Linked DNA regions of Caenorhabditis elegans. The protein of the gene in region 4 purifies or fractionates together with the protein of the main gene of each other region. This does not show direct contact. Each region holds a gene or a part of one and is shown on either strand. Other genes may lie near its edges. The genes, in order: pcaf-1, rpl-10a, hrpr-1 and his-67.

Evidence for each region.
Region 1: the proteins of his-67 (region 4) and pcaf-1 fractionate together in Caenorhabditis elegans (co-fractionation; one large-scale study listed by BioGRID). This does not show direct contact.
Region 2: the proteins of his-67 (region 4) and rpl-10a fractionate together in Caenorhabditis elegans (co-fractionation; one large-scale study listed by BioGRID). This does not show direct contact.
Region 3: the proteins of his-67 (region 4) and hrpr-1 fractionate together in Caenorhabditis elegans (co-fractionation; one large-scale study listed by BioGRID). This does not show direct contact.

The regions. Positions count from the first base shown.
Region 1 is NC_003279.8:3,512,255-3,522,924, reverse strand, and holds the start of pcaf-1 (histone acetyltransferase), read right to left. Parts: upstream 6,476-10,670; 5' UTR 6,374-6,475; coding exon 6,257-6,373; intron 6,201-6,256; coding exon 6,080-6,200; intron 6,026-6,079; coding exon 5,898-6,025; intron 5,121-5,897; coding exon 4,966-5,120; intron 4,903-4,965; coding exon 4,811-4,902; intron 4,761-4,810; coding exon 4,660-4,760; intron 3,667-4,659; coding exon 2,762-3,666; intron 1,623-2,761; coding exon 1,518-1,622; intron 1,469-1,517; coding exon 1,341-1,468; intron 618-1,340; coding exon 349-617; intron 1-348. Other genes in the region: Y47G6A.18 (Golgi phosphoprotein 3 homolog sauron), read left to right, coding at 10,266-10,310.
Region 2 is NC_003279.8:2,872,876-2,879,024, reverse strand, and holds rpl-10a (Large ribosomal subunit protein uL1), read left to right. Parts: upstream 1-2,716; 5' UTR 2,717-2,722; coding exon 2,723-2,880; intron 2,881-2,985; exon of another isoform or gene 2,986-3,005; intron 3,006-3,053; coding exon 3,054-3,375; intron 3,376-3,423; coding exon 3,424-3,594; 3' UTR 3,595-3,627; downstream 3,628-6,149. Other genes in the region: Y71F9AL.8 (Myb_DNA-bind_3 domain-containing protein), read right to left, coding at 1-25, 76-192, 241-336, 383-447; Y71F9AL.9 (CUE domain-containing protein), read right to left, coding at 988-1,253, 1,310-1,621, 1,673-1,888, 1,939-2,089; Y71F9AL.12 (UAE_UbL domain-containing protein), read left to right, coding at 3,736-3,822, 3,873-3,943, 3,988-4,156, 4,506-4,607, 5,800-5,931.
Region 3 is NC_003279.8:12,058,446-12,068,108, reverse strand, and holds hrpr-1 (RRM domain-containing protein), read left to right. Parts: upstream 1-3,211; 5' UTR 3,212-3,221; coding exon 3,222-3,377; intron 3,378-3,431; coding exon 3,432-3,878; intron 3,879-4,484; coding exon 4,485-4,661; intron 4,662-4,862; coding exon 4,863-4,998; intron 4,999-5,212; coding exon 5,213-5,343; intron 5,344-5,890; coding exon 5,891-6,333; intron 6,334-6,379; coding exon 6,380-6,610; intron 6,611-7,005; exon of another isoform or gene 7,006-7,099; intron 7,100-7,156; coding exon 7,157-7,271; 3' UTR 7,272-7,838; downstream 7,839-9,663. Other genes in the region: F58D5.2 (MARVEL domain-containing protein), read left to right, coding at 1-133, 1,779-1,904, 1,948-2,064; ksr-2 (Kinase suppressor of Ras B), read left to right, coding at 8,327-8,352, 8,402-8,473.
Region 4 is NC_003279.8:9,986,711-9,992,129, reverse strand, and holds his-67 (Histone H4), read left to right. Parts: upstream 1-3,366; coding exon 3,367-3,678; downstream 3,679-5,419. Other genes in the region: alg-5 (Protein argonaute-2), read right to left, coding at 1-226, 456-586, 654-1,614, 1,669-2,043, 2,088-2,155, 2,207-2,326; his-68 (Histone H2A), read right to left, coding at 2,615-2,998. UniProt on the Caenorhabditis elegans protein: Core component of nucleosome. Nucleosomes wrap and compact DNA into chromatin, limiting DNA accessibility to the cellular machineries which require DNA as a template.

The DNA.
Region 1 (10,670 bases), 6.5 Mb from region 4:
TAATTTCAAACTTTGCTGAATTTTCGTCGATTTTTCAAAGTTTTTCGATAAAAATGTGGGTTTTTTGTCTTAAAACTATGAAAAATCGACGAAAATTCAGCAAAGTTTGAAATTACAGTACTTTTTAAATGCGCATTGTCGTGCCGAAACCGGGGGTACCGTATTTTTGTCACAAAAACACAAAAAAAAAATTTTCGTTTTTTAAATATAATTTTGGTCGCTGGAAATTGGAATTTTTTATAAATTTTCTAAATTTGCTCTATTATTCTCGCAAAAATAATTTCCTAATTTTTTTACACATTTTCCAGCCAAAATTTCCCGAAAAAAGGCCAAATTTCAAAGCCCTACATGAGTATAAGCCTTCCGTTTCAATTTTTCTTGCATTGTTTTAAAATCGATCGGATGCTTAATATGATCATAATATTCTGGTACTTCTTTCACATCAACTGGACTTGCAAACGGCCATGCATTTTTATCGGCGGTCAGCTTCTTCAGAATTGCTCCAATTTTTGAGTCAAGACTATCGTCTCGTTCGTCCAGATGGTAACACGACTTTTTGTGCATTTTAAGCGAATCCGTGCCCGGCACTTTTCGGAGCTCGAGAAGTTGTGGGGAACCTGCAGAAAATGGAAATTAAATTTATAAATTTATAGGAAAAAACAAAAAAAAAATTTTTAATTTATAATTATTTTCAATTTCGAGGGATTTTTTTAAATTTTTCAACAAAAAAACTCTGAATCAATAAAAAATTTTAAATTTTAAACTAACAAAAAATGTCTGAAATTGGTCTAAAATTTGATAATTTCACTTTTTTTCTGAAAAATTCCTGAAAATTTGGGAAATTATTATTTATTTTTGAAAAATTGGAAAAAAAATTTAAAATTTGAAATTAATTCTTGAAAATTGATTTTTTTTATTATAAAATTTTTGTAAATTTTTTTTTTCAATTTTCATTTAAAAAACCCAATTTTCAAATTCCCGCGCAAATAAAACGGCCAAATTAATTGGATTTTATACTTTCATTAGACATTCGATTTGAAGCATAATTTGCCAAATTTTCAATAATTTTTCCGCAAAAATAGCTAATTTTTGCGGGTAATCAAATAATGAATTAATCTGTTTTTTTTAATTGAAAATTCGAAAAAAATTAACAATTTAGAATAAATTTTTTTTAAAACACACACTTTTTTAGAAGTAAATTTTCAAATATTATTTTTTTTCCAATTTTTCAACAGAAAAAGGGCTAAAAAAAAATTTAGAACAAATCTATAATTTTAAGACGATTTTCCGACTAAAATCGCGCGGTTTTCAGTGTAATTTTCACCAAATAAACCCCATACTTTCTCTGAAAAGATGCTCAAGTCCTCCAAACACTTTTCCACGGCTTTCTGCTCCATTTTCCGACTTGTATCCACAGTGTAGAGCCTGAATTCCTTTCGAGAAATCCGGAAATTTTGTGTACGAGATTCTGGAAATTTTTGGATTAAAATTTAGGAAAAAACCGGTGGAATTCATACTGTGGATGTAGATGACAACCCATTAAAGTTGCACCTTCATATTCTTTAATCCATCCCTGATAGACTGTATCGTTGATTTCCAGCTTTTCAGAGAATCCTTGCTTTCTGGAAAAAAAAAACATTGTAGAGGTTTTGGGGTTTTTTTTTTGAAAATTGGCATTTTTCTAGCCGAAAATTTTGGTTTTTGAAGAAGAAATTAGTTGTAAAAATGTGTAAATTTGTCAAATTTAGTACATTTTTAATTCTGGAACTTGGAAACTTGGGAAAAGTATGAAATTTATCTTTTCAATGTAGAAATGACCTTGATGGGGACTAAAAATTGAAATATTTGGTTCAATTTTAGCAAAAATGGGCAAATTAGGGATTAATTTTCGACGCAAAAATTGTAATTTTACTGTTACATCAACCAAATTCCAAAAAAAAAAATTGAAAATTCGAATTTATATTTTTATTCAGATAAAAAATGTTGTATTAATTTTTAATGAATCATTTTTCTCTGAAAATGATTTTCAAATTCTCAAAAATTCGAAATTATTTCAAAAAAATTGAAAATTCTTAAAAAATTTTTTACAAAAAATTCAAATTTAAGATTTTCGAAAATTTTCATGCAGCAAATTAGTATCAAAAATGCTGTTGATTTTTAGCCCAATATCGCGTAAAATCTTTTGCTTCGGGTTACTGTAGTTCGTGTTTGCGTACTATCCAGACTACATTAACCCCCTTTTTTTTTTCAAATTTTGAGCTAGACGGTACAAAAAAGTCGTCAAAAACGTAATTTAACTGAAAATTTTAGTTTTACGATGTTTTGCTTTTCGAAAAAATTTAATTAAAAAAAAAAAACTTTTTTTTTAAATTTTCGATTTTCCGGGAAAAATTGACATTTTCTATTATACAAAAAAAAATAAAAATCTGGCGCTTCGGGTTACTGTAGCTGGTGCTTGCGTACTATCCAGACTACAGTAACCCTGTTTTTTTTCCAATTTTGAGGTAGAAGCTCCAATAAGTCGTAAAAAAATGCGTTTTTATTCTACGATACTCCGTTTTTTCCGATTTTCCAATATTTCGAAAAAATCAAAATTAAAAAAATATTTTAAATTGTCTAAACATGTTTTTTTCTCGATTTTTTGATTTTCTTTTGTGCAAAAATGAAGAAAATAGATTTTTTCTAGCACAAAATTGAGAAAAATATAGAGTCAATTTTCAAAATTTTTATTTAAAAAAGAATTTTAGTCTTAAAAACTCACGTAAAATAGCCAATTGCAAATTCATCAGCATAGGTTAGCATATGATAAATCTTATTTTTAATCATATAATCTTTACAATGATTCATCAAATGTGTTCCATATCCTTTGACCTGTTCCATTGCAGTAATTGCACAAAATACAATTTCCACAAATCCCCGTGAAGGGAATGTTCGGAAGCAAATTCCACCGATAACTCCCATATCTCGCTTCAAAATCACCATATTTTGATGCCTCGAGTCAAAAATCAACCGTGTCACATATTCTTTGGGCATCTTCGGAAGCTGTGCTCCAAATAGATTTTGAAGCTCAACAAGATGAACAAGTTGCTCGTGATGTTGAAATGGATCAAGATCATTTCCAATTACTCGGAACTCAATGAGCCCACTCTCCTCTTCCTGTAGAGCACTTAGACCTCGTGAAACTTCTGTATTAAGAGCTTCAAATTCGACTTTTGTCTTCGGTTCCATTGCATCCAGGTCGCCTTCGAACTTGATCGCCCGAATCAGAGAACGCAGTAGAGCCATTGATTCTTCAGTTTCTGGGGATTTTTTTGCGGAGCTTGAGGGCTCTTTCTTCCTGCGACGGGGCTCTTCCACAGGTGAAGTGGAGAGCTCACGTGGAGATGAACTTTCAGAATGATCCGTTGGCTTTTTCCGTTTTACATATTTCAAAATGACGTCTTCTGTAGAAATTGAATCTTTTCGTCGATTTGTGGTGGAGGTTGATTGTGGATCTTCAGTCTCTAAATATCGCCTCAAATCCGTTGCAAATGTGATCAAATCTTCGCTATTCTCTTCTAAATCACTTTCCGAAAGGCCGAATGGTGTATAGTTGCCCGTATTCAGCACATTTATTAGATAATTACAGAATGTTGTGGTGAACTTCTCGCCGAATATGTCCACTGTCTGGAAAAAATATACTTTTAAAAAAATTTTAAATAAAGATAAAGGTTTTTTGAAAATTATTTTTTTAATTTTATTTAAAAATATAAAATTTCATTCACTTTAAGATTTTTTTTTGAAATTTTGGAAAAAATATTGCTATTATAAAGACGCAGAAAAATTCGGCGTTTCGAGTTGATGTGCAAACGCGCTCCACGGCAAAATAAAAATGCTCCGCCCCTGAACGTTGGGTCTCGTTAGGTTTTGGCGGGAAAACTGGGAATTCAAAGGTTTTTTAAAATAGTTTTTTGAAATAAAAATCATTTAAAAAAAAACGAAAAACATGAAAAATGCTTGAAAACGTTTTAATTTCCAATGTTCCCGCCAAAACCTAACGAGACCCAACATTTAGAGGCGGAGCATTTGCGGTGGAGCGCGTTTGCATCTCAATTTCAAAAGGCGCATTTTTCTGGGTCTTTTTGGCTTGTTTTCCAACTTTTTTCTGACTGATTTTGGGAAAAAAAATTTAAAAGAATCGAATTTTAGAGAGAAAAAGTGATTTTTTTGGTTTTTTAATAATTTTTTTGCAAAATTTGAAAAATTTTTGCTTCATATTGGAGAAAAACTGTTTTTATCTGTCAGATATATTAAAAAAATTCAAATTTTTAAGAAAAATTTAAAAAATTTGAATTTTTCAACTACAAATAACAGAAAATCGAATTTTCTGGTTTTTTTTATTTTTTATTTATTTTAGTGTCTCATTTTCTTAAAAAATGTCAAGAAAAATCAAATTTTAAGCTAAAAATTTGAATTTTTCGATTTTTATTTAATTTTGGAACACCTTTTTGCTTCATTTTGGGAAAAAAACAGTTTCTAACTGTGAAATATGTAGAAAAACCTTTTTTTTTCCAAAATTCAGTAAAAAAAACTTTTAACTCATTTTTTTAATTTTTTAATAAGATTTTTCATATTTCTACTTTTATTCTTAACAATAATCGAATCTCAAATTGAAAATACCTGAAACTGCTTAAAAGACACGTATTTCGCCGGCATATTCACATAATAATCCATTCTTACATACATCATTCGATATTTTCCCTGTTCGAGAGGCACATTTACTGAAAAATTGCATTTTTAGGCGGTTTTTCTATTGCAAAAAACTGTGTACATTTATCCGCAAGACTCTGAAATCCTTCAAGCTTCCAGTGGTTCATTTCAGTTAGAAAAAGCGTTCCAATTTCGGCTAATCGTTGTTTTTCGCTGAAAATCTCGGGGTTTTTTTTTATTTATATAACTTTTTTTTTATTTAAAAAATTATCCTACGCATTATCAACTGGTCGGGATGCGATAAACTTCTTCACAAGAATATATGGGCTTAGGGATTCCGGTTCAAAATTTGGTTTTCCGATAAAAGGCACATCGACGGGCGTTAGTGTGCGAAGGGATTTCAGGAGAATTTGCATTGTGATGTATAGCGTCTGAAAAATATAATTTGTTTAACTTTTAAAAGTGGACTACGCTCAATGGGGAAATTGTTTTAAAACACGTCTATGGGGCCACATTGACCGAATATTTCATGATAAAAAATTCAAAAAAATTTTCTAGATTTTATATGATTTTTTGAAAATTGGAAAAATCACAGTTTTCACCTAATTATTTTTGAATTTCCGCCAATTGAATTTGTTCGGTGGAGCGTGCTTGCATTATTTTTATTTATTCTCGTTATTCGACTGATTTTCTTCATTTTCTATGTTTTTTCCTCGGAAAATGAAAGAAATAAACAAGTCAAATGCAGAATGTTTGTTAAAAAGTAATTGAAAATGAGTAAAACTGTGAAATATACTAATTTCAGGCTTGTTGCCGTCGGAACTCAGAATATCAGTTTTACGCATTTTCAATTAGTTTTTAACAAAAATGTTGCATTTGTCTTGTTTATTTCTTCCATTTTCCGAGGAAAAAACATAGAAAATGAAGAAAATCAGTCAAATAACGAGAATAAATAAAATTAATAAATAAAAATAATGCAAGCACGCTCCAACGAACAAATTCAATTGGCGGAAATTCAAAAATAATTAGGTGAAAACTGCGATTTTTCCAATTTTCAAAAAATCATATAAAATCTAGAAAAATTTTTTGAATTTTTTTATCATGAAATATTCGGCCAATGTGGCCCCATAGGCGTGTTTTAAAGCAATTTACCCACTGAGCGTAGTCCACCTTTAAATTTAAAATTAAAATTTTTAATTCAAAATAACCTGAAGAGATTCATGAGAAGGATCGATTTCTGAAAGTTCAGAGCAACAGGTTTGAAGGTCGGAAATTTGATCCGTATACGTGTCCAGATCCTCTTGTGACAAATATTTTAGTGGCTCCGCATGAAAAGCTGCAAATTTTTAAGGTTTAAATTGAGTTTTAATGAGATTTTCAGCCAATTTACATATAGAATGACCACACGTTCGGCATTCGATTATCTCCTCGCTTCCCAAAGTTTCCAGATCCCTAGTCATCGGTGCAAAATCATTTTCTCTTTCTGCTCGTGTTGCTCGCCGTTCGACAGTCTGAAAAAGCAGAAAAATTGGTTTTATCGGGGAAAAAATTCAGATTAAACACCAACCTCATCTTCGTGATTCAAAACAGGCCGGAAACCACGGCATTGGCATGTTCCGGCGTTGCAAGACGTGAAATATGTTAATTGTCGTCGTTTTTCATCCAGAGAGTCGCGTTGTTTCATTTTTTTTTATTTCGTTGGTTTTCAGTAGAAATTGAAATTAGAAAAAAATTGGAATAAAAACAGTTTTTTTGAATGCAAAATGTGTGCAAACACCATCACGGTAGAATGCACAGAAACGCATTCGCGCTCTACCGCACAATTTGATGTGGATTTTTGATTTATTTTTTTTTCTTCTTTTTTCAGATTTAAATATTTCTAAGCTGAAAATCTCAAATTTCCTTTGTTTTTTTTTCAATGTTTTATGTTTTCTGTTTGAAAAATTAAAAATCACCCTTATAAAAGTTAATTTAAGGTTCTTTAGCACTATCTTTGCTTTTTTTGGCAGTTTCTTTCAATATTTCGATTTGGCTTTGCTTTTCCTTTTTTCTGAATTCCAGACACTTGCGATAACGTTAGCTTGAAGTCGTTTTAGAAAAATCTTTTTTTTTTAATTTTAAAAAATTGCAACTATTTCCGATTCTTTGTAGAAAACACCTGACGAATTGAGATTGTATCGCCAATTTTTTTTTGTTATTTGCATTCCTCTTCCGATTGCGCTAATCTGACCAGGTTGCTTGCACTTTCTCCGTTAACATCTGTTTTCCAATTTTATTGAATTCTTATAGAATCTGTTTTTCTTCTCTATAAGCAGTCTGTACAGTTTACTTTGGAAAAAAATCGATTTTTGTTTGGATTGTCGTCTAAAACTTGAAATCCTCAATAAAATTTGCGTGAAAATAAGAAATTTTGTTTGAAAATGCCGACTTTGAAGTGCTTTGCACAGTTTTTCAAGCATCATTGAGAAGTTGGAAAAAATTTTTTAATAATAAAAATCGAGGATTTTTCGCCATATTTTTTCTTTCGAAACCCTGCAGGTATGTTGTTCTACCTACAACAAGTCCCCCTTTTTCTTTCCTATCAAAGAAAAAAGCCTAAAAATCAAAATTTTCAAATATAAGTACTGTGAGACCGAGATGTTTGCCTTTTTAGATAAGAATAACGAAACGTCATACATTTAATATTGTGACTCGCAACACAATAACTTTATGGATTTTATGAAAAAAATATATATAGTAAGCCGGAATCCACAGAAAAAATTGCAAAAAAAGTGAAAAGTCCAAAAAAAAGCCTCCAAAATGAGAACGCCCTGAACAATCAGCGCCTTCGAGCTGCTCTGATTGGTCCAAAAGTGGGCGAATTGTAAAATAACTTAGAGTTTGTGGGTATTTTGGTTAAATAGACTAAAACTGGTCCAAAACCACCGAAATCCTTAATGAGACTTCACAAAAAATTTCCAAAAATTTTTTATGGCCGGTCAAAATTTCGAAAAAAAAGAGCCAAATTTTGCTAAAATCTGAAATTTCGCACATTTTTCTTTGTCACAGCCGCTGGATTTTAGTTTTTCTGAAATTATCATCCTTTAATCCTTCTTTTGGTAATTTATCTCGCGGAAATTCGTTGATTGAGACAACTTTTAGGCCGATAGGCATCCAATTTTTATCATTTTTGGATGCCTATAGGTCTAAAAATTGTCTCAATCAACCAATTTCCGCGAGATAATCTACCAAAATAAGGATTAAAGGATGATAATTTCAGAAAAAACTAAAGTCCAGCGGCTGTGACAAAGAAAAGCCAGCGAAATTTCAGATTTTAGCAAAATTTGACTCTTTTTTTTTTCGAAATTTTGACCCGCCATAAAAGTTGTTTGAAAATTTTTTGTGAAGTCTCATTATGAAATTCGGTAATTTTAGACCAGTTTTAGTCTATTTAAACAAAATACTCACAAACTCTACTCCCCCTTTAGAAGTTGGATTTTTCATTCTTTTCGTTTTTCTTTTAAAGTTTTGCTAAATTTGAGACTATTTCAGATTTTTTGAATCTTTTTAAAAATATTCCGGCTACTTCACCTTTGAATAACGAGATAACTAGAAGCCAAAATCACATTATTCTATTATTTCACTCAGAACGTTCACTTCTTTATGCGCACAGAAAATTCACGGCAAAGTATGTCGCCGTCGTCCGTCCGTCCGCTTCGTCACCATCCTTCTCTCTCCTCCGGCGGTCTCCATCATCCGGCTCGTCCCTTCTGTGTCTCTGTGGTCTCTTCACTCTCTCTGTCCCCAACGCCACGTTTCTTCTCTCGCGTCTCTCCACACTTCTCGCCTCTCCTGGTATTTTCAATCGAAACGCTCTTCTCCCGATACTAGCTTTCGCCCGTGCGTCGCTGTCGATTCATTACATTTATTCCAATGATTTGATGTTTTTTGAATCTACAAGAAATTAAATTTTCGAGCTTTTCCGAGTAATCTCTCGAGTTCCAATCAATTATCACCCCTGCTCTTCCTTCTTCCATTTTCCATGATAAAGCTTCACAGCAACGCCCTCTGATAAGCATCTATAAACTGTACAAACCTTTTTTTAAGTACCCAGTTCTCCAGTATTAATATAATTTTGGCTGTTTTTTTTTGTGGAAATGTTGGTGGCAGTTAAAGCTTTGGAGAGCAGCCCCAGAAAAAAGCTGACCAAACAATGGCTCTTTCCCTGCTCACATGGAAAAGCTTGCTCGCTTGTGATGTAATATTTCGTTTTTAGGCGATAACAACTGTTTTATAATTTCCCTTCCGAAATTGTTGTATTAGTTGGAGTTTGCCGACCAGTAATTCTGTAAAATACACCTTTCCTTAGATTTTTTCTTAAAATTTATTGTCTGAAAATTGTTTTTATTTGGCTTGAAACATTAGGAAAAACGTTCGAAAAATGCCTGAAAGTTGGAGACTGCTAGAAACAAATTTCGGCAATTTTCAACTTTCAGACAATTTTTGAAAGTTTTTCCAAATTTTTCGCGTAAAATGAACGCATTTCATCGGATATTTTCCTTTAAGTTTTGTGATACAATGTAGAAAAACATTTTATTTATCTGGAAATAGCCTTTCATAAAAAAATTTCACAATTTCCCAAAAAATTTTCCAAATTTTCCAAATGTTTCGAGCAAAATAAAAGGCTATTTCCAGACAAATAAAATGTTTTTCTACATTTTATCACTAAATTTAAAGGGAAATATCCGATAAAATGCGTTCATTTTACTTGAAACCTTTGGAAAAACTTTCTGAAAGTTGAAAATTGCCTATTTTTCCGGCATTTTTCAACGTTCATGCAATTTTTGAGCTTTTTTTCAATTGTTCCAACTGATATGAAAACTATTTCCAGATGAAGCAAATTTTTATATTTCGATATTAGACTCATACAATTAAAAAAAAAATTTATTTTCTGTAAAACCTCCATAATTTTGAATATTAGTGCTGAAAATTTACTAAATCGGCAATAAATCGGTTAAAAAATATTTCTGAAACACTGAAATTTTTATTTAAATAACGATTAAAGCTCTTCGCGGCTGCCTTTCCGGAGACTAAAAAAATTGAATTTCGATTAAATCCAGTTTAAACTTCTAAAAATCGAATATCAAGCTAGATACTCATAATTTATTCCCAAAAAACACCCATTTACACCTCTTCCTCTTCCACTCCATCCGGTTTTGCGCATCATCTTCATTTGTCTCAAAAGTTTATCACTGCCAACGATCTTTTCATCTGCTGGAGGCTCCACTTTCAGACTGGTTCTTCTAGATTTAATCTACAACACAGCTTATGCTTCTCTCACTAGCCGATTTTGAATGTTTTTGGCAATTGCTAATAGGGAGAAGCAAAATGCATGGAATCTTGATTTGGAAACGAATTTTGAAATTCAACATTTAATTTACCCGAAATTTGCAACTTTTTAACGTGAAACCGAATTTTTTGAGCGAAATTTTTGTCAAATTGAAGAAATTATTGCCATTTCAGAAGTTGAGGAACGACTCGCCCAGTTAGTTGCCGACGTGTTTTTTGGATAGAATTTAATACTGTAATAATCGGATATGTCGGACGGTCAGCTGGTCCAGAGACGCAGAAAGGCTGAAGAGGTAGGATGATTTTACAGAGTTCAATGGAAAAACACGAGAGATAAAAAAAACTGAAAAAGATGAAATTTTCAACTTAAATTACCTCTGTGTAATGTTTAAATTAAACGATTAATCCGTGAATTTTGCAGAAACAGCGTCGCACGGAAAAATAAGCGGAGCTTAATTTCGCAACCCTGCGGCGCGGTTTTTTCAATTTTTCAAACAAAAAAATTCGATTGAAAATATTATCGAATTTAGTTCTCATAAGACTATGAGGATATTTTTGGTTGTAAAAACATTTTTCTTCAGGAAAAGTAAGATAAAACGAACAAAATTAAAAAAAAAACCGTGCCGCAGTGTTGCGAAATTACGCTCCGCCTC
Region 2 (6,149 bases), 7.1 Mb from region 4:
GGTTTTTACTGCCAAATTTCGAATGCTAAAAACATTTTTTTTAATTATTTCATGTTTTCTGAAATTAATAATTACTATTTTCGAGTCTCAGCACCGAGTCTTGACCCAAAACGTCTCTCAAGTGAAATTAAATCCGAAGATTTCAAATGTCGAGAGTAATAATCGATATTCGGGACAATTTGACGTCGCATTCTGTAATTAATTCCATATTTTTAATCGATTTTTTCTAAAAATTCGCACCGTCCACACAGTGATTGCACTGAATACGGACAATTGTAGGCTTCAACGTACAGTTGCCACGTGATTATTCCAAACGGTCCAAGGCTCTTGTCATTTCTGAAAGAGGTGATTCTTGAAATATCATTTAAGCATTCTATATTGCCTGGCAACCCATTTGAGCATTCTCACATCTTCGTAATCGTTATAATGATGTCGTTGGTTTCCCATCTGAAAAATTAAGAGCCTCCTATCTGGGGTGCTAACAAAAAAAAATAAATTTTTAAAAGAAACTATTTAATTTATGAAGAAAAAAAACACCTTTACACTCCCATAGTGGTTTTATTACTAAAGAAGAAGAAAAGAGAAAAGACGTAGAAAGGAAATAAAAACAAAAAGTTCTGATGTCTCCCGCATAAAACAAATAAGGCCTCTTGTGTGATATATATATATGTGTGTGTATGTATAAATTTAAGGGGGGTGCAGGATAAAAAAATGAAAAATGTTGGGGATGAAGGGAAGAACAGGAAAATTAAGCGAAACCAAGGGGGGAAAGGAAAGAAACGGAATAAGTTATAATGGATTATAATTACAAGCATAATGAATAGGGTCATTCACTTTCAATACTATAATTATCAAATCAAATCACAGTAAAAATAAAGATGCACTTTGCCGGAGTACCATCTTCGAACCAAGGAACCACAGTGAGCTGCTCGATCAAGAAATGGTATGAGGTGGAAGGGGGGATTTTTGAAGGAATGAAGAAGGGGTTTACAAAATGGACAGCTTTGGCTGATCCTTCTGGGCTCCCTTGTTGCCTTTCTTGCCCTCGCCTGACTTATTGTTGTTGTTGTTATTTTTCGGTCTGCGTGCAACGTTTTCCGAAGAGGTGATCAGGGAAGCGTCGACGCCACGAGATGCCATTGTGAGCATGAGTGTCTTCTGAAGATCAGCCAACTGATCGGCGCTGAGTCCCGATGAAGTGAGTTGGAAGCCAGCCGTGTTGGTGACTGTCTTTGATGCGGCTTTCTTATCTTCTGAAAATAAAAGAATTTTTAATTAAAATTCTATTCTAGAGACATTTTACGCATACCTTTGTGTGTTGGGCTGAGGTTAACACCTGAATCTGCTCCGACGGATGAAGTGATGCTTGACTGACTAGTAGCGTGCTTGATTGGCCCAGCGGCTGGAGGTGGAGAAACCGCCTGCTTCGTTGGAGCTGCTGCTGGCTTTCCGTTGGCAACCGGCTTTGAAGATCCTCCAAGAGCAGCAATTGCTTTGAGAATTGTAGAGGTATCAAATTGTGAAGCGTTTGACTGCTTCAACTCCTTCTCGCGGTCGTTCAATGCGAGTCGGATAGCCTTGAAAGCTGTCGACAACGGATCAGCTGGAGCTGGTGCACTGACTGAAAGGAATTATTATTACAGACGAAAAGAAAGAAGAAAAAGATACGTACCAACTGGTTTAGGTGCAGCAGCTGATTTAGTTACCGAAGAAGAGGCTGGGGCGGCTACAGTTGGAGCTGGAGCCGCTTTAGCAGGCGCTGGAGCACTTTGCGTCGTTTCCGGGGCAGCTGTTTCAGTCTTCTTGCTCTTGTTCTTCTTCTTTTTAGCTGCGGTTACACTGACTCCATCTGATGTGGTCCATCCTCCAAGAATGCTAGAGGCTCCATCTGAAAATTAAAAATAAATTCTAAAAAAAAATCAAATTAAAATGATTTACCTTCCAAGAAAGCAGAAATTGTCTTGCCAACGTCAAGATCGAATGAGTGAAGAACCATAATGATGTCATTATTGGTTACACTATCAACGACTTCACGAACTTTGGCGATTTTCTCCTGCATGATTTTCTTCTCGCTTTCCTTTGGTGCCATTTTTCTGGAAATTTGAAGTAAAGAAACGAGAAAGGACACATCGAAATGTCAAGAAAGATACATAAGAAACAGATTATGAGAAGGTTCGGTAAAACTTTGGGTAAGCGACGTAAAACACCAATCTCCTCGGCTGGTTGGCACGCGTTGCGGTCGCGTAGCGGCCAGGGTGGCACTGAGACGCGCGTTTCGGAGAGCGATAACCTACATAATGGGGAGCGTACTGGGAACAGGGCAAATGGATATTTTATCAATTTATACGAGTACTGATTGACAGGATCATGAGAATGATAACAAGTGGAAAAAGAAATGAGAATCTCGAAGGAAAAGGCCTAAAAGGGAAGGAAGACGTGCCACGAGGAAGACGCATGTAGTTTTGCAGTGGTGTGTACCCGCCGCGAAAGCAAGTACGGTAACACTCGTTGCTGCGTGTGCACTGCTTGGCCTAAAATTTTATCTCCACAGTTCTTTTCTCTTCGTTCTGTGGTTTTTCTGTAGATTTTTGGATATATTTTCTCCTTTTGAGTGATTTTTACTTTCTTTCAAGGTTTTAAAAGCCTATTTTTTCGTTATTGAACGTTATCCACTTGCTGCCCTCTATATAGAATTCTTAATTTATTTCTATTTCAGGGTAAAATGTCGAAGGTTTCCCGCGAGTCTCTTAATGAGGCTATCGCTGAGGTCCTTAAGGGATCCTCGGAAAAGCCACGCAAGTTCCGTGAGACTATCGAGCTCCAGATCGGTCTCAAGAACTACGACCCACAGAAGGACAAGCGTTTCAGCGGATCCATCAGGTAGCTACGACCTGTGAAAACAGGGAGTTGGGACTTTCAAAGCCTAACGGACCCCCACCCAGGGTCTTAAATTTTTGGGGAGGCAATTATTGCCGCTTTGAAATAATGATATGAGCTGGTATAATGTAACCAATCGTGTCATTTGGATTTATTTCTATTGTTCTATTTTCCAGACTGAAGCACATTCCACGCCCAAACATGAAGGTGTGCGTCTTCGGAGACCAGCACCATCTTGACGAGGCTGCCGCCGGAGACATTCCATCGATGAGCGCCGATGACTTGAAGAAGCTTAACAAGCAGAAGAAGCTCATCAAGAAGCTCGCCAAGAGCTACGATGCTTTCATCGCTTCCGAATCCTTGATCAAGCAGATCCCACGTATCCTCGGTCCAGGACTCAACAAGGCCGGAAAATTCCCTTCCGTCGTTACCCACGGAGAATCTCTCCAAAGCAAGAGTGACGAGATCCGCGCCACCGTCAAGTTCCAGATGAAGAAGGTAAACATTATCATTCTTATTGCCCTGTTAATAATTGTATCATTTCAGGTTCTCTGCCTCTCCGTCGCCGTCGGTCACGTTGGACTCACCCAGGAGGAGCTTGTCTCCAACATCTCCCTCTCCATCAACTTCCTCGTCTCGCTCTTGAAGAAGAACTGGCAGAACGTGAGATCGTTGAACATCAAGTCCACCATGGGAAAGCCACAAAGAGTTTATTAATTACTTTGTTATTCAATAAACATTGTTGATTTGATTCTATCTAGTCGTGCATTATTCAAAAGTTACATTGTCTAACAATCGTCTATCGGAAGTTGCTTCAATCTTTCGTTAGAACAAGAACTGGTCTTTCGTCACTTTCAGATGTCGGAGAAAAATGAACACTTCATGGTGAAGTGCAAGGGTCCCCCGAAACAGTTCTTGGCGATCGTTGGTGATACTGATGGAATGGTAAAAAGGAGAATACGAGTTTATTAATAACTCATGAATATCAATTACAGATCAGAAAAAGTTTAGAAGAACGTTCAAAAGCTGTCAAAGAAGAAGCTGATTGTTATTTCATTGAAACATAGTAAGAGATTCGGGGTCAAATAGGATTTAATTATGGATTTTCAGTTATTATTCTGCAAAATATGGCATTAAAACATATGAAACTCTTTCTGAATTGTCAGCAGATTACGAGGCCAACAATGCTCCAATAATGTGCATTTTCTTCGCATTAAAGTCGATGGATCAGCTGGAAGAAGCTAAAACTGTCTCTAATCAAGTTAAAGCCGATACAAAGGTTTTAGTTTTGAAAAAATCAAAAATTAACCGAAAACAGCTTTAAAAATTGCCAATTTTTCTTTTTTTCAAACGAAAATTTGATGAAAAAATTAAATTGCCGGCTTTTCGATTTTCAAAAAAAAAATCGAAAATTCTCTAATTCGAAAAAAAACTCAAAAAATCGATTTTCCAAAAAACAACTTAAAGTATTGGCCATTTTTCTCATTTTTTAGAAGAAACTTTGGTTTTTTCTCATGAAAATAATTTAAAATTGATGAAAAATAGGAAATTTTGAATTTTCTCTTAAAAAAATCTATTAAAATTTGTAAAAAAAAGAGAATATCCATTTTAAAATCAAAATTTTTTAGGTAATCATCGTGGAATCACTGGAACTATGTCCGGATTTTGATGGACTTGAAAAATTTGTTGCCGAAAATGAGTTCGAAGTTGTTTTCCTGAAACCGAATGAGGTAATTTTTTGGAGAAAGTTGGAGAAAAATGCCCCAAATTCCGAAATACCACCGAAAAAAAACCCATGATTTTGGCGATTTTTCAACTAAAATTTGAATTACACCCGCTTAATTTCGACGCAAATTCTTTTTTTTTTGTGTTTTTTCTCTAATTTTTAATAAAGAAAAAGGCACTAAATGTTCAAAAGTTTGAAATAAAATCCGTCATACTCGGTACGATTTTTGAACATTTATGACCTATTTCTTTATTAAAAATTAGAAAAACAACACAAAAAATGAGAATTTCCGTCAAAAAAAAAACCGAAGTGTGCTGTACGATTCTATGGGCGGAGTTTTTTTGGTGAAAAAATCGCGGAAATTAGTTGAAAAATCGGTATTTTTTCAAACTTAATAACATTTTTTAGTTTTGACTTTTTGGTGTCCTGGCATTTGGGACCAGCTTCAGTATTTTGAAAATAAAAACTTTAAAACACGTCTATGGGGCCACAATGACCAAATACCATGATTAAAAAATTCAAAAAAATTTTCTAAATTTTATATGATTTTTTGAAAATTGAAAAAATCTCAGTTTTTCCTAATTCCTATTTGATTTACCGCCAATTGGATTTGTTCGATGGAGCGCGCTTGCACGTTTTTAAATTAATTTATTTTATTTTTTGTTATTTTCCACCGATTTTTAATGTTTTCGGTGTATTTTTGGTGGAATTTTAGAGAAAAAGTCAAAATAAATGCAAATTTTTGATTAAAAAGCAAACAGGCGTAAAAATCAAAAAGTAACGCTTTTAAACGATTTCGAACCTGAATTAATTAATTTCACAGATTTACGCCTGTACGCTTGTTTTTTAATCGAAAATTTGCAATTATTTTGACTTTTTCTCTAAAATTCAAGCAAAAATACACCGAAAACATTGAAAATCGGTGGAAAATAACAAAAAATAAAATAAATAAATTTAAAAACGTGCAAGCGCGCTCCATCGAAAAAATCCAATTGGCGGTAATTCAAATAGGAATTAGGAAAAACTGAGATTTTTTCAAATTTCAAAAAATCATAGAAAATTTAGAAAATTTTTTTGAATTTTTTAATCATGGTATTTGGTCATTGTGGCCCCATAGGCGTGTTTTAAAGCAATTTCCTTGCTGGCGCTACTCCACTTTTAATTATCAGTTATTTAATAGACAATTTTCAATTCAGGATCAACTGGTTGAAGCAGCAGAACAAGCAGAAAAAATTGGAGTCGATCGGCTCATTGAGACCATGGAAGTGTGTAATTGGCCATGGAGAGTTGTAAATGCAATTGGAAAGGTTAAAATACACGACTCTATCGTAATTTCACAAGATTTTGGCATTTTTAAAGGCGCACGGATTCATTCAGATGGGTCTCGACGCGAAAAAAAGTTTATGGCAGTTTTTTTGGACATTTTCGCGGAAAAACCACACTTTTTTAATGAACATTTTTTTCTACAGAATTTCTACAGAAAACGAAAAAATTCATTAAAAATGAAAGGAAAATGAAAGAAGGAAAAAATTCCAAAAAAAAACTA
Region 3 (9,663 bases), 2.1 Mb from region 4:
TCAGCCTGTAAATGACGAGCGAGGCCCTGCGCTCTTTTTCTGTGCTCTCGGTATCTTGGTCAGTTTTGGAGTCCTCTTGGAGTACACATTTATGCTCAACACTCATATCACTGCCACGTGTGGGTTTATTTTGGTAAGTGCGCTCTATTGAGAACCTGGTTATTTTGGCGGGTAATTTGTGTTCTTGAATTTCTCGGTTAAAAACCAATCGAAATTTGAAAAATTCAACATTTTGAACTGTTGTACGAGAACTCGTACTCTTCTATCTCTTCTTCCATCTTTTGTTTCTCACATGCACTGCAACTTTTTCCTCACGAGGGACGAGGAAAAGTGGTTTCTAGGCCATGGCCGAGGGGCCGACAAGTTTCAGCGGCCATTTATCTTGTATTGTTTTCCGCCTGTCTTCTTTCGTTTTTCACAGCTTTTTCCCGTTTTTTCTTATTAAAACTGATAAATAAATACTTTTTGCAGATGCTAAAACAATTTCCAAGTAAAAAAAATTATGTATTCAGTGGGCAAGCAGCGGTGAAAGTGGTCAATGCAATATGATGGATTACGGGAATACAAAACCTAAACTTTTTTTGAAATACATATGATGATACATATGATGCTTAGATGCTGAAACTACCTGATTTTCATAACGAGATCGCTGAAAAAGTTTTGTGGTTTTCAAAATTCAACTTTTTGTGCGAAAATCTCGACTTTTTCACCAAAAAAGTTGAATTTTGAAAACCACAAAACTTTTTCAGCGGTCTCGTTATGAAAATCAGGTAGCTTCAGCATTTAAGCAGCATATGTATCATGTTTCAGAAAAAGTTTAGGTTTTGTATTCCTGTAATCCATCATTTTACATTGACCACTTTCACCGCTGCTTGCCCACTGAATACACAATTTTTTTACTTGGAAATTGTTTTAGCATCTGTAAAAAGTATTTATTTATCAGTTTTATTAAGAAAAAACGAAAAAAATCGATGAAAAACGAAAGAAAACAGGCGCAAAACAAAGCAAGATAAATGGCCTCTGAAACTTGTCGGCCCCTCGGCCATGGCCTAGAAACCACTTTTCCTCGTCCCTTGTGAGGAAAAAGTTGCAGTGCATGACTCATATCAGCAATATTTGATATTGCTTATTCACAATACCCTTTGTCTAAATGCTTTTTCCCCTGCCATTCCGACAGTTTCTCCGCCCCCTTTCTTATGTATTTATAGCAGCCCATGTGGACTGCTTTTCATCTTTCTTACAATAAAGGTCGCTGCCTGACCTAAAACCTTTTTTATGGTGTATTGAATCGGGCTCGGTGCTTCTGCAAAACCCAGGCGGGTCAGGCAGTGGGTTTATTCCCTAAAAAGAATAAGCCTGGTTCAACAAAAAGAACGTTGAACCGGTCAGAAAGATCAAGCCAAGATAGTTCGAGATGTGAACTGACACTTCCTCAGTAACCTTTTTTTCTACAAAAAAAAACACTAGAAACTGTGAGAAAATCAAATATTCTTGGCAGAGCACAATTGCACTACCCTGCACTTGCGCACTGATGAGAATTTGGCGAAAAATTCGCATTTTTATATATAAACTTACATTTAAATGTAAATTACTTCAATTTTGTGATAGAATGCATTTAAAATGTGTAGAATTTGAATTTTTCTCTGAAAAAAGTCGGAAAACCCGCATTTTCTCCTCAGAGCACAACCTTGGGTTTTCGAATTGTTTAATTTTTTAAGGTAAAATTCGATTTCCCTATTCTAAATGCAAATAAAAAATAGTTTTTCTTTATTTTTCAGGAAGCTCTTCTGTATGTGCTCGTTTCGGTGGGCCTCCTTGTGTCTGCCATCTTGATGTGGGTGTTTTGTGCGGCTCATTGGGCTGAAATGAATCCCGAATGGGCTACGATGCCAGCACTGGCTACGGTAAGTAACTTATAAAATTCTAAGACTCGGAGCTCTTTTTTAGGCTGCTCTATTCTTGTGTTCGGCTCTTTATTTCATAGAAATCTGTGTCTTGCTCAATGATGCTCGCCGGTGTAGCTGGAGACCACCACAACCGACATCTTCAGTTCTTCCTCAATAAATCATCAAAATAATAAAAATAAATAATTGAACAAATCCATGGTCTTTCTCATCTAAATATACCTCATTTTTATCATAAATAAATAGTTTTTACCTGCAAAATAAGACTGATCTCGGGCGGGCTCGAACCACCGACCTTCTGTGTGTTAGACAGATGTGATAACCACTACACCACGAGACCGCTGGCACTGTCAGCTTTTCAATGTCATTTTATTTTACACGTTTTTTGAAAGACTTTGAAAGAGTCTTACCTTTTTGATTTTCACTGAAGTACTAGAAAGTTCCCACCGAGATTAAAATTTTATGAATTTATTTGCCTCTTTCTCTAACTTATTTCTAGGTCCCTTTAAATTAGTATTCAGTGATGAAGCCCACCGGTGCAGCTGGACACCATTCATGGTTATCCAAAACGTCCTTTTCAATCTCTATGCTCTCTGATCCTCTCGATTTCCCATGATATCTCTCCCTTTCTCCATTCAAAGAGTACATCCTCGTCCCTTCCCGTTCCATTCAACGTCTTCTGCTGCTCTTTTCGTGCAAATGAACACCATCTGTTCACAAGTAAACCGCGACGCGGCCGCTCCGCCCGACGAGAGATGTGCTGCGATGTGTGGTATGGGGTGAGAGACGCAGACGGTGTAAGTTAAAGGGACATTACCCAAAGTGTGAAAGATATCCCGTACCGAAGACGCTCGCCGCTTCGATTTTTGTTTTTGCCGCCGTTCGATTCGAATTTTGAACGTCTTCGTCATCTTTTTTGTGCATTATCCTTCGTTTTTCACGATTTTAAACCTCTTAGAATGTTAAATTACCTTGAAAATCCGGAATTTTCACATAAAATCCTTCAAAAAATTGAGTAAAACTCCGAAATTCGATGTATTTCATGTGCAATGTAATATTTGAACAATTTCCTGATTTTTTACTGGTTTTTCTTAATTTTTCTATCAGTTTCTGCTTTATCTAGACTTTTTCTTAATTTCAGAGTTTATTTCACTCATATTCTCAATCAAAATTCCAGTAAATTTGTGAAAATAGGCTTGAAAATTAAATTGATTTGAATCTTTAAAATCTGCTGGAACATCAAATTTTTCACAGTTTTTTGCTATTTTCAGAGCAATTTATCGTATTTAGATTATCGATTTTTGCAGATCTCCCGCCATGAGTGAGGAAATCAAACAGGAAGTAAAGGAGGAGGCTCCAGAAACAACGACTGAAGCCAAGACCGAAGAGGCTGCTCCTGTCGCAGAAGTAGTTGCAGAAGTTGTTACCAACGGAGATAAGCCGGCTGAAAATGGAAAGACCGAGGAGCCAAGCGTATGTTCTATCTAGAAAGGCGCACTTAATCAGTAATAATCGTTGAATTTCCAGAAATACGCCGAGACCGAGAACTACAAGAAGCTTATCGGGCTTAAAATGAAGCCAGCCCTCGCCGACGTCGTGTGCGAAATCTACGAGTCCGGACTTCTCGGCCCAGAGGATCTCGATGATCGTGCAGTCGACATCATCAACTCGGTGAACCTCGATCAGGCAAAATTCATCTTTACCGAAATCAAGAACTCTGAACTCTTCGGAGTTGCCACCAAATCGCTTTACGTCACCTCACTGATCCGCTCATTCAAAGATCGGTGCCGTCAACAGGGAGCAGCTGCCGTAACATCCGGAAAGCTTATCAATGGACCAGAGTTGGCCGCGTTGAAGAACCTACTGGAAACCACCGGATACACCATTGAAGTCACAATTGGACAGAGAAAGTTCGGAGGACCTCCACCAGATTGGGAAGGACCTGCTACAGGGCCAGCTGGACAGGGACACGAGGTAGAAGCGAGAGGCACCACGAAAATGAGATCTGGAAGCGGCTTTAACGCCAATTTTCCCGAAGAAATACGTTACAACGATGCTCTGCGGCGCGTTGTTTTGCCTTTCTTTATGTGTGCGATAGAGCTTTTCCGTCAATTTTTGCCGTTTCTGTTCAAAGTTTATCGATTTTGCTTGATTATTTCCTTTTTCAGCTATTTTTAAAGGAAAATGACCACGTTTTCGCCCAGAAAACAATGCCAAGTTTCTATAGATTTCAGAGTTCCTTCAGACGCTCTAACGGTAAAAACTGTGAAAACTTGGCCATTTTTCATCAAAAATAGCTCAGCTTTAACCTACAAGTTGAAAAAGTTAGCGGAAAATTACTATCGCTAAACTGAAAAAAAGCAAAAAGACCGAAAAACCGCGCCGCAGACTTGCAACTTGCAACCGACGTTTCGCTTTCTCTAGACCGTGCCCATGAGGCTTCGTGCCTTTTTTCGGATTAAAATTTCGAAAAAAAACGCGCATCCGAGAAAAATGGCTTTAAAAGAAAACTACCGCTGCCAGATCCCAGTTTTGCGAATTCTCTTTTTATGAGACCCTCACCTATTCAACCATTTTCAGATCTACGTCGGACACATTCCAACGGACGTCTTCGAAGACACCCTGGTTCCCCTCTTCGAGAAATCCGGAAAAATCTGGGATCTCCGTCTTATGATGGATCCAATGTCCGGTGCTTCCCGTGGATATGCTTTTGTCACGTATTGTAATAAGGAAGACGCTGCGGCTGCCGCCAAGACTGTAAGTTTAGGCTTTCCCCATGCAATTTCAGAGCAGTAGGGTAGGGTGATGCCTCTAGCCATTGAAAAATTGCTTCCCAATGCGTTGTGTTTATTCATTATTGCATTTTGGACACAATTGGAGAGAATTCCCGCCTTCCGAGCCAAAAAACCATTTAAAAACCAACATCACAACGCATTTCATCCATTTTCTTTACTTTAGTATGACGGCCACGAAATTTCGACTGGAAAACCACTCAAAGTGAACGTTTCGATCGCTAACACTCGCCTTTTTATTGGCAATATTCCGAAGACGAAATCTAAAGACGAAATTCTTGAAGAGCTCAAGACTCATGCAGGTACAGAACCCATTTTCGAAACATTTTCTCGATTTTCAAGCAATAAAGATTCAAAAAAAGTGAAAAAAGCGAAGAAAAAATCGATTTTTTTTCTTCTTTCTGTATCCTATTTATTTTTTCTATTGTGATCGTGTGGTCTTTTTTATTAATCAATATTACTATTATTATTATTATTTTCAATCTAGCCACTTTCAGCAATAATTTAACATTTCAGAGGGCGTAGTTGACGTTATCGTCTACTCGGTGCCGGACAATGAGAAAATAAAGAATCGTGGATTCTGTTTCGTTGATTTCATCGATCACAAGACGGCTTCTGATATCAAGAGAAAGATTGCACAGCATAAGGTGAATTTTTGGATGATTTGGAGGATTTACGCTGCATTTTCGCTGGCTTTTTACCTTTAAAATGGCTAATTTTATAGCATTTTAAGTGAAAAATTGATTTTTCTCGATATTCACGTAAAACAATTGGAATTAGCGACTTAAAAAGTGAAAATACTTGATTTCTGGGACATTTTCCCCCTTTAAGCGGCTAATTCAAAGTGCTTTATGTGAAAATCGAGAAAAATCAATTTTTCACCTAAAATGCTATAAAATTAGCCATTTTAAAGGTAAAAAGGCAGCGAAAATGGCACAAAAGAAGCATTATAGCCAAAAAGAGCATACGAGTCAAGAGAAATCGATTTTCGTCTAGAATACAGTATTTTAAGTGAAAATCTATGTACTTCTTGATTTTTGAGGCATTGTAACTTATAAAACTATACATTTTTATATTTAAAAGGTAAAAAAAAACGTTCCAAAACAGACAATTTTCTCCTCGAGAACTACACGAGCTGCGTAAATCTACACGATTTTTCTCTGAAAATAGCAAAAATAAAAATATTCTTTCCAGATACGTCCATTCAACGCTGATGTCTACGTGGATTGGGCTGAGCATCAAGAAGAGCCAGACGAGGATACCATGTCGAAGGTGAAGGTGCTGTACATCCGAAACATCAAGGAAGCAGTGACCGAGGAGAAGCTGAACGAGCTCTTCAAGGAATACGCAAGTCTGGATAGAGTTAAGAAGGTGAAGGACTACGCGTTCATCCACTTCAACGAGCGTGACGATTGCCTGAAAGCAATGGAAGAATGGAATGGAAAAGAGCTCGAGGGAACTGTTGTTGAAGCTTCACTCGCCAAGCCACCACAGGAGAAGAAGAAGAAGCCAGTGATGCGTGGGCGTGGATTCGGTGGAGCTGGTGGTGGTGCTGGAAATCATGGACAACGTGGTGGACAACGTGGAGGTGGTCAGTGGGGTGGAAATGCTGGACCAGGAGGTTATTATCCAAATCAGTGAGTTAATTCAGTGAAAAACTATGAAAAATCAACACATTTTCAGCTTCAACAATGGCTACGACATGCCAATGCCTTGGGGAGGTGGCTACGGTGGTGACATGGGATATGGTGCATATGGAGGAGGTTACGGTGGTGGATACGGTGGCCCGGGAGCCTATGGAGATTTTGGAGCCTACGGAGGCGGTGGATTTAGAGGAGGAATGCGTGGATCGCCGAGAGGAGGAATGGGCGGTGGAGGAGGATTCCGTGGTGGACCACCTGGACGCGGTGGAATGTAAGTTTTGAAGTGTGGTGGAGTGCTGCTGCGCCAGTGGACGGAATTTGTCTAAAAAATTACAAAAAAATTAATTTTGAACTGCCCTTGTTCGATAGAGCGCGCTTGCATTTTTTGTAATTTTTAAAAAATTCGTTTCTCACATTTTCCAATGATTTTTCTGTAAATTTTCACTGGAAATTTGAAGAAAATTTCAAGAAAAATGCAAATTTTTCACTAGAGAGCATCTGTATGGGTACGTAACCATAAAGTTGCCTTATTGTGAAAAATTTGCATTAATCTTGCAAACGTTTCTTCAAATTTCCAATAAAAATACACTGAAAATATAAAAAATCAGTAGAAAATGAGAAAAATAAACTAAAAATGCATTAAAATAAATAAAAAATACAAGCGCGCTCTATTGAACAAGGGTAGTTCAAAATTAATTTTTTGTGTTTTTCAAATCAATTTCCCCCCCCCCCCCCCCCCCCCCCACTGGCGCAGAATTCTCCATATATCTTTATAAAATTGTGCAAGAATAATCCTAATAAATGTCTGAGGTTACAGGGCAAACAGACGCGGTCGAGGAAAGCGCCCGGGAGACGGACGAGGGGGACCAGCATCGAAACGAGACAACGGAAAGCCTGATTTCTCGGCTGACGTCAACATGAGCACTTTCTAAATTGCACCCCCGGCAGAAACTCACTTTTTCTTTGTTTTTTAAATTATTTTTCACTCCCCCCATTTTTTAAAAAATTTTAAACTTTTTCAACCAAAAATTTTGCATTTTGCATTATTTTTCTAAATTTTTTTGTTTCGTTTTTCGAATGGTTTTGATCTCAAAAATCGTTCGACTTTAGAAAGTGGTGCGAAAAATCGAAATTCTATAATTTATATACATATTACCCTCATTTCTTTTTCGAATTTTTTAAAAAATTTTTCCACTCCCTCTCTCTCCTCAACCCAACCCGTTAATCTCTCACGACCTCAAAAAGTGACAAAAACCATTCTGAAAAGTTGTATTTTCTCATTAATTGTAATAGAGATTTTGATATTGAGCTTTGCAAAAAATGGTTTTTAACGTATCTCTCTCTCTCTCTGTTTCTCTATTCCCTTCACCCTCTCCCTCTCTCTCCATTTGAAACCGTTTTATTCCGTTTTTTTTTTCTGTGTCTCGAAATTTTCACCTTTTGCTGTGAAAATTGGACGCACACACAATTTTAAAATAAAATAAAAAAAAATTTCGTTCAAAATTTTTACTCTTTCTTTCGGAAGTTTGCCCAAATTTGATTTCTCTGTTTCAGATCTTTTTTTTCGCAGTTTTCTACAAAAAGCTCGGAGAATTTTGCAATGCGGCAGGGAAAAAAGGGCGGAGCGTCGTTTGCAAGCCTGCGGCGTGGTTTTTTTTGGGATTTTCAGGATTTGGAAAATATAAAATATTTTTGGATTTTTACAAAAAATTAATACTTTTATCCAGTTTTTGTCAGAAAAAAAAAATTAATGTAAAATTTTCGAGCCTCAACCAAAAAATAAATGCCTTTTTCACTCAAAATCTTCAATTTTTTTACAAAAAAATGCAGAAAAAAGTGAATTTTTTCTAAAATAATCGCTGAAAAATCAAAAAAAAACCGCGCCGCAAGTTTGCAAACGTCGCCACGCCCCCGCAACACCTAAATTTCACGATTTTCAAATTTAATTTTTAAATATATCTTTTTTTGCAGGGAGAACCTTCGTCAGATGAGCGATGAAAAGAAGAAAAAGCGGTAGGCCGAGCAGGCACACATTTTCAGGCAATTTAACACCGATTTTCAGCGGATTTTTCAGATACAGCGTGCTGACGACGTCATCGTTCTCATCGTGGCGGAGATCTTCAACGAGTGGAAGGTTAGGCAGAGTTTTTTTTTTGGCTGAAAATTCGAGAGTTTTCGATGTGAAAATGGCCTTTTCCCCAAAAAAATTGTCAATTTTCGCGTTTTCGCCGCGTTTTTTGGCACATTTCCCGTGGAAAATGTGCTTTTTTCGCGAAAAAAAATTCGAAAATTCCGCGATTTTTGAATAAAACAATTGCGAAAATGAAGAAAACTCAATTTTTAACCTGAAAAGCTTGCAAAACTTGGTTTTTGCTCTAAAAATCGCAAATTTCATCCGAAAAACCCCCCAAAAAAAGCAATTATCGCCTTTTCCTCGTATAGCTGTCGTCGTTCCACTTCATCAGTTCTTCTCTCCAATTTTTCCCCGGCTTTTCCGCATTTTTTTCCCAACGAGTTTTACGTTTTTTACTGCTGCTCAGCGGCCGATTTAATTTTAATTTATTACGATTTTCAGTCGTGAAAATAATATGCACAACAGGCAAAAAGATTTATGGATTTTCGAGCGAGTTTTCCTCGAGGAGTACACAAAAGCTGCGTAAATCTACACAGAGGTTTTCCGGCCGTCGAGTTGGCTTTTTCTCATATTTTGGAGAATTTCGTTGTTCCGTAGTTTTCAGCCAGCCGGGGTTCTGGCCTTCCTCATTGAATTTTTCGCGCTCCATTGACAATCCTGTCTGCCGGACAACGCGTGGGAAAGTGTCGTGTACTCCTCACTGACAAATACATTTAGTTTTACAACTAGAATCGAGCCGCAACGCGCCGTAAATCTACCGAGCCAACATGGCCTAGTTCGGCCAAAACTCTTCCATTTCAATTTATGAGGGAAGCATAGAAATCTGTGAGATCGGTTTAATTTTCTAATTTTCAAGAATAAAGAATCTCACGAGATTTGTCTTTTCTGGAAAATGCAATCACAGTTCTGCTTTCCCGCTAGTTTTCTGGAAAATGTCCATTTTCAAGCTTCTCGAGGTTAATTTACGACTTTGTGCTGGCTCACATGAGCTCCTAGAGCCATTTTGGAATATTCAATGGCTCCGTTCGCCTTGGAAGACGAAAAAGAAAAAGGAAAAAATAGAGTGTTCGATTAAATTTTGCCTCCTTCGCCGTTCACATCTACACTCGGGGTCTCAATTTTTCCTCGCTCATTTCATCAAATGGTTGAAGGCTCCCGGAGCCCACCCATTTTGAGCCTAGCTAGCTGAG
Region 4 (5,419 bases):
GAGTTTCGAGTTGATTTTCATACAGAGATTAGAAAGAGTGTGTGGTGACGCTTTCGAAACATTTTGAGATCGAACACATTGAGTTGTCAAACCAAGTAGCTCTCCTTTTCGTTTCAATTCTCCATAAACTACAGATTTTCCGGGGACAATGCATAAAACGAGTTGAAGATTGTATTGTTCATTCAAATGTTCGAGAAGCTTCACAGTCTGGTCTGGTTCTGCGTATCTGAATAAGGTACAATTATAGGTTTATTAAGCAGTTTCTATCGGTTATGCCGATATATGCACATTAACAAAATCCTATTTCTATTTCTCATATTTCTATAAAGATTTAGGGAAAAAAACACAGCGATGAGAAAAGGGGGATTTTTACATGTTATTTTTTAAAAAAATTTTAAAAACAATGTGCCGCACATCCCTGATTCCAATAAAATCGAGTAAAACATTCTCCGGACCTGCAGAATCGGTGTTCTTCGAGAAAAGGCATTCCAATTTCAGAGGCAACATTGACGAGATTTCTGACAAATGAACGCATGCTGGCTTCTCCGATAATCTCTGGGCTTGCGAAACAAACAATTGCCCATTCCTGAAACATAATTCGCTGATAGTTTGTTATTTAAATAATTTATGAGTGTTCTACAAAGAAAACCTACTCGAATCTGGATTCCGCTGTAAAAATTCTTTCCTCTCATATCCCATGTTCCATTATTCGGAACTGTTACACACTCTTGTCTCTTCAAATTTGGGGAACGATAGAGAAGACGCGGAACCGGCAAGACACGTCCTTCAATCTTCAACAATTGAGCTTCAACTTTTAATCCAAATTTAACCGCATTGACATCATTATCCATTTTCAGCCGATTCTGAAGGCTCATGACTGCATTTTGTCGTTCAGTTGCATTTCGGCTCGTTGCTCTGATCAGATTTGCAATCTGTTGTTCATTCAGTTTCTTGATACATCGTTGGCCACTGACTACGTAACAAAGCTCCAAAGGAAGAATACATTCTCGAGTGCGTCCAACTTCAATACACGGAAGATGCTTATATGTCAGATCGATATTATAACGCCTTTTATAGTATTCAACCAATGAGAGAGGTTTAGAATCTTGATTGCCGGCAGTCTCGGAGAGATGGAAACTAATATTTTCAGTTGGTTTCCAAGTGCAACGGGCGACACGAAATCTTCGTGGACAACTACAGTGTCTGGTTTCAACTTTGAGTCCGGCCACTTCACGGTTGAACTTTTTCTTTTGAACATCGCTCAGCGAACGTCCGTCGGTGACTGTTGCCAGTGGAACTTCCAGAATTTCAGCAAGGAATTCCACGAGAGCCACGGGGCGGTAGAATGTAGTTGTTGCAACGTCGAGATTCATAGTGAGTGTATCGAATGTCTCAACAACATTTTGATAAAAACCGTAGCAAACTTCTCGTCCAACTCCTAAATTGACAGTTCCCCATCCAAGGCCATGCGAGGGTTCGATTGCAGAATTTTGTGCAATTGAGAAGAAAGATTGAAGCACGGCATGGAAATTTCCAGTAGAAGTTTGACGGAAGACAGTATCAATTGCATGCATCATTCGCAACTTCTGGTTCTGATCCTGATTTCCTGTGATACTGAAAAAGATTGAATTAAAAACAATGAAGAAGGTTTTCCAAGTAAAAACTCACATTTTAGTATCCAAGAGGAAGCTGTCGACATGTGTTAGATAGAGTTTGAATAGATTAGGTGATTCTTTTGTATTAACAACTCCTGCAACATTGATGACTGAATTATTCACTTCCTTGACATTAATCAGCTCTGTTGAGTACACAGTGTGAATTCCATCGAAAACTAACGGGCACTCGATAAGTCCGGGATTCTGTTCTTGCAGAGTTCTCAAAATCGTTCTGTTCAGCTTTTTCGACGGAATATCTGGATCGAATCGAATATAGTATTGATGAATAATCGATCCATTGCACGTGATTTGAAAATGATTGGCGAGAAGTGATAAGAATCGTCCTGTAGTGCTGGGAAGTGGCTTTCCTATCAATTTGAATGGCTCTCTGAAATTTTTAAATGTTTTAATTGTAATTTCTCAGGCATTCACCTGTTTTCTTCAATAGGATGCAGGTAGAGATCATCGGAAACTCTGGATCCAGAAGAACTGCTGAGAAACTGAAAACAATTTTATGTAATCAGCTAAATCCGAATTTTCTTTTTAAAAACCTCATTTTCCAAACTGGGCACGTTGATCGAAGTACTTCTTGATGAAGTGGAACTCCTCACTTTTAACTTTTCGACCAAATCATCATCATAAATTGCCGACAGCAACCATTGGTCTTCCATACCTGAAATTTGTTAATTTAAAAAAACTCAAACTGGAAAACGCAAAGAGACCATCGGCAATGTAAAATGCACGGTATCAGGTAAAACGGGCAACTATTCCAAAAAAATTCCTGAAAGTGAGAAGATTTCAATGAAGTTTTAACTGGTGAATTCTCCAGATTATATTTCGAATAAGAAATGAAAAATATAGCACAAATAGTTTATTGATTTGAACAAAGAGGATTTTCAGAAAATTGTGGCTCTAAAGAGGGCCGTTGGGTTCGGTGGGTTTTTGGATTCGGAAGATATTTATTCCTTATCTCCTCCGGTCTTCTTTGGGAGAAGAACGGCTTGGATATTTGGAAGAACTCCTCCTTGTGCGATTGTCACTCCGGCCAAAAGCTTGTTGAGCTCTTCGTCGTTACGGACAGCAAGTTGAAGATGTCTTGGGGCGATACGGGTCTTCTTGTTGTCACGGGCAGCATTACCGGCCAACTCGAGAACTTCAGCAGCGAGGTATTCGAGAACAGCGGCCAGGTAGACTGGGGCTCCGGCTCCAACACGTTGAGCATAGTTTCCTTTGCGAAGAATACGGTGAAGACGGCCGACTGGGAATTGAAGTCCAGCTCTTGACGAGCGTGACTTGGCCTTTCCTCCGGTCTTGGCTTTTCCTCCCTTTCCACGCCCAGACATTATGAGCGATTGGTGATCGTAAAACTAATCTGAAGAATGAACCAAGACAGTCGCTTTATATTTATTTTTACGGTGGCGGGGCGGAGTTTCCTGCGGGGACACCTCTTTTTGAACATTCGGTAAATTCCTGCGGGGACACATTTATCTCGTTTCTGCGTCTCTCTCACCTTCCTGTATGTCTCGCCTACTAGAGGCCAAAACGGCAGATATCTCTGCAGATGCAAGAGCGGCAGGCACGGAAATGTGTCCCTGCAGGATGGCGCAAACTGACTCCGCCTTTGCACCGCTGTATCTGCATAGGGAGTATATAAGAAGAACTGTTTTCCCAGTTCATCATCATTCGTGAGTCTTCAGCCAATCACTCAACAATGTCCGGACGTGGAAAGGGAGGAAAAGGCCTTGGAAAAGGAGGTGCCAAGCGCCATCGTAAAGTCCTTCGGGACAACATCCAAGGAATCACGAAGCCAGCCATTCGCCGTCTAGCAAGAAGAGGAGGAGTCAAACGTATCTCTGGATTGATCTACGAAGAAACTCGTGGAGTTCTCAAGGTGTTCCTTGAGAACGTTATCCGAGACGCCGTCACTTACTGCGAGCACGCCAAGAGGAAGACCGTCACAGCCATGGACGTTGTCTATGCTCTGAAGAGACAAGGAAGAACCCTGTACGGATTCGGAGGATAATTTCAATTGTCCTCCCGCTTCCATGCAACAACCACCGAACCCAACGGCCCTCTTTAGGGCCACAAATGATAAATCCAAACAGTCCGATTGCAATAAATGTTTATTTTCAATGCTTCAATTTTTTATCTTTTCACTCTTCTAAACGAATTTTACAGATGTTTCTCCAAACTCGATTTTCCACAAAAACGAAAAATCACGATAAAACACAAAGTCTAGACGCACAGTATAGAATTCAATTTGAATTTTCAAAAGAGTTCATTTCAAATCAGATATTACTTTTTAAAGTTATGAAAACTAAATAAATCTCCCAATAAAAAATGCGGTAATTTATATGCGTGAAATTTAGTTTTTTTTGATTGAACTCGAAGCTTCTGGCACCTAGAAAAATTACCGCGCTCTAATAATTATGAACACTCCAGGAGACCGTGTTTGATTGTCTTTTTTTGTGAAAATATTCCGTTTCCCATTGCCACCAGTTTCCCATCGTTTATTGCATACGTCCCATCACTTTTTTCTTATTTTCTGACACAATTTTTTCTTGAATTTTTAGGGTGTTTTTTTTTAATTCTTTGTAAAATTTCCATATAATTATCTTATCCCTAGGAAATAACTAGCATAATAACTCCATGCCCGACAAAAAAATATGTGATAAGGAGATAGTTCTAGGATTCAAGTAAAAAAGTTGAAGAAACGTTTTCAGAAATTAGTGCCAATTTAAAGGTGGTTCCTTCATCCTTCACATCAGCTTTTTCAACTTTTGTGGGGGCTTTGAACTGCTTTTTCGGGATTTGTCCTGTCCGAAGAGGTCATTGGGTCTGAAAATTAAGTTGCATGGCCGTGGAAAGGGAGGAAAAGGAAACTAAAATAAAACACTTAAAATTTTTGAAAAAAAAACTATTTGAAAATAAAAACTATTCTATGAAAATTCCACAACAACAAAGGGTTGGAAGCTACAGTATTCTTTAAAGGCGCACACTTTTTTTTCGTTTTTTTCGGCTTAGCAATAATTGTGGTGTCGAGACCGCTTACTGTATGTTTGGGCTAAATAAGTGCTAAATATCAGAACGTTGCTATCCAACTGTCAAATGCCAAAGATTAATTTTTAGTAAATTCAAATAATATTATTAAAACCCGTTCAATTGATAAAGTCATAAAAATCAACAATCAAAAAAGTTAGGACATTGTGAAAACAAAAGAGATCATTGTACATAAAATACGAGAACTTTGAATAATTATTATTCATAACCGTTAAATTGATTAAGCACAGTTGCAACGTGATTTTTGATCTTCTGAAATGGTCCATACGACATTCCAGTTTACTAGCTCGTATTTTTTTTTGTTTTTTCTATTTTTCTTGAAGAAAACAACAAAATGTTGCGTGAAAAATGTCCATTAACCACCAACAAAAAACCCATAACTCGTGAACCAAATTCACTTTTTTAGGCGTCTCACTCCTCTAAAGATTTATCGACCAATTTCCAATTTTGTGCAGAAGCTCAGAAGAAAGGGAGTTTTCAAATAATGACTTTTTCATTCAACACATACCACAAGATACTCTTTATTTTGTATCCGCAACAATGCATTTCACTACTGTATTATATGGAGATGGGGGATAACAATACCGTTCTCTCCGCCCATCTGTTCATGCTCCAAGTGCTCATAAGGACATAGTGGAGGGTAATTACGATTTATTGTTTGAATTTGAAAAGGATCAAGTGAAAAGAACAAAAGTGAAATGATT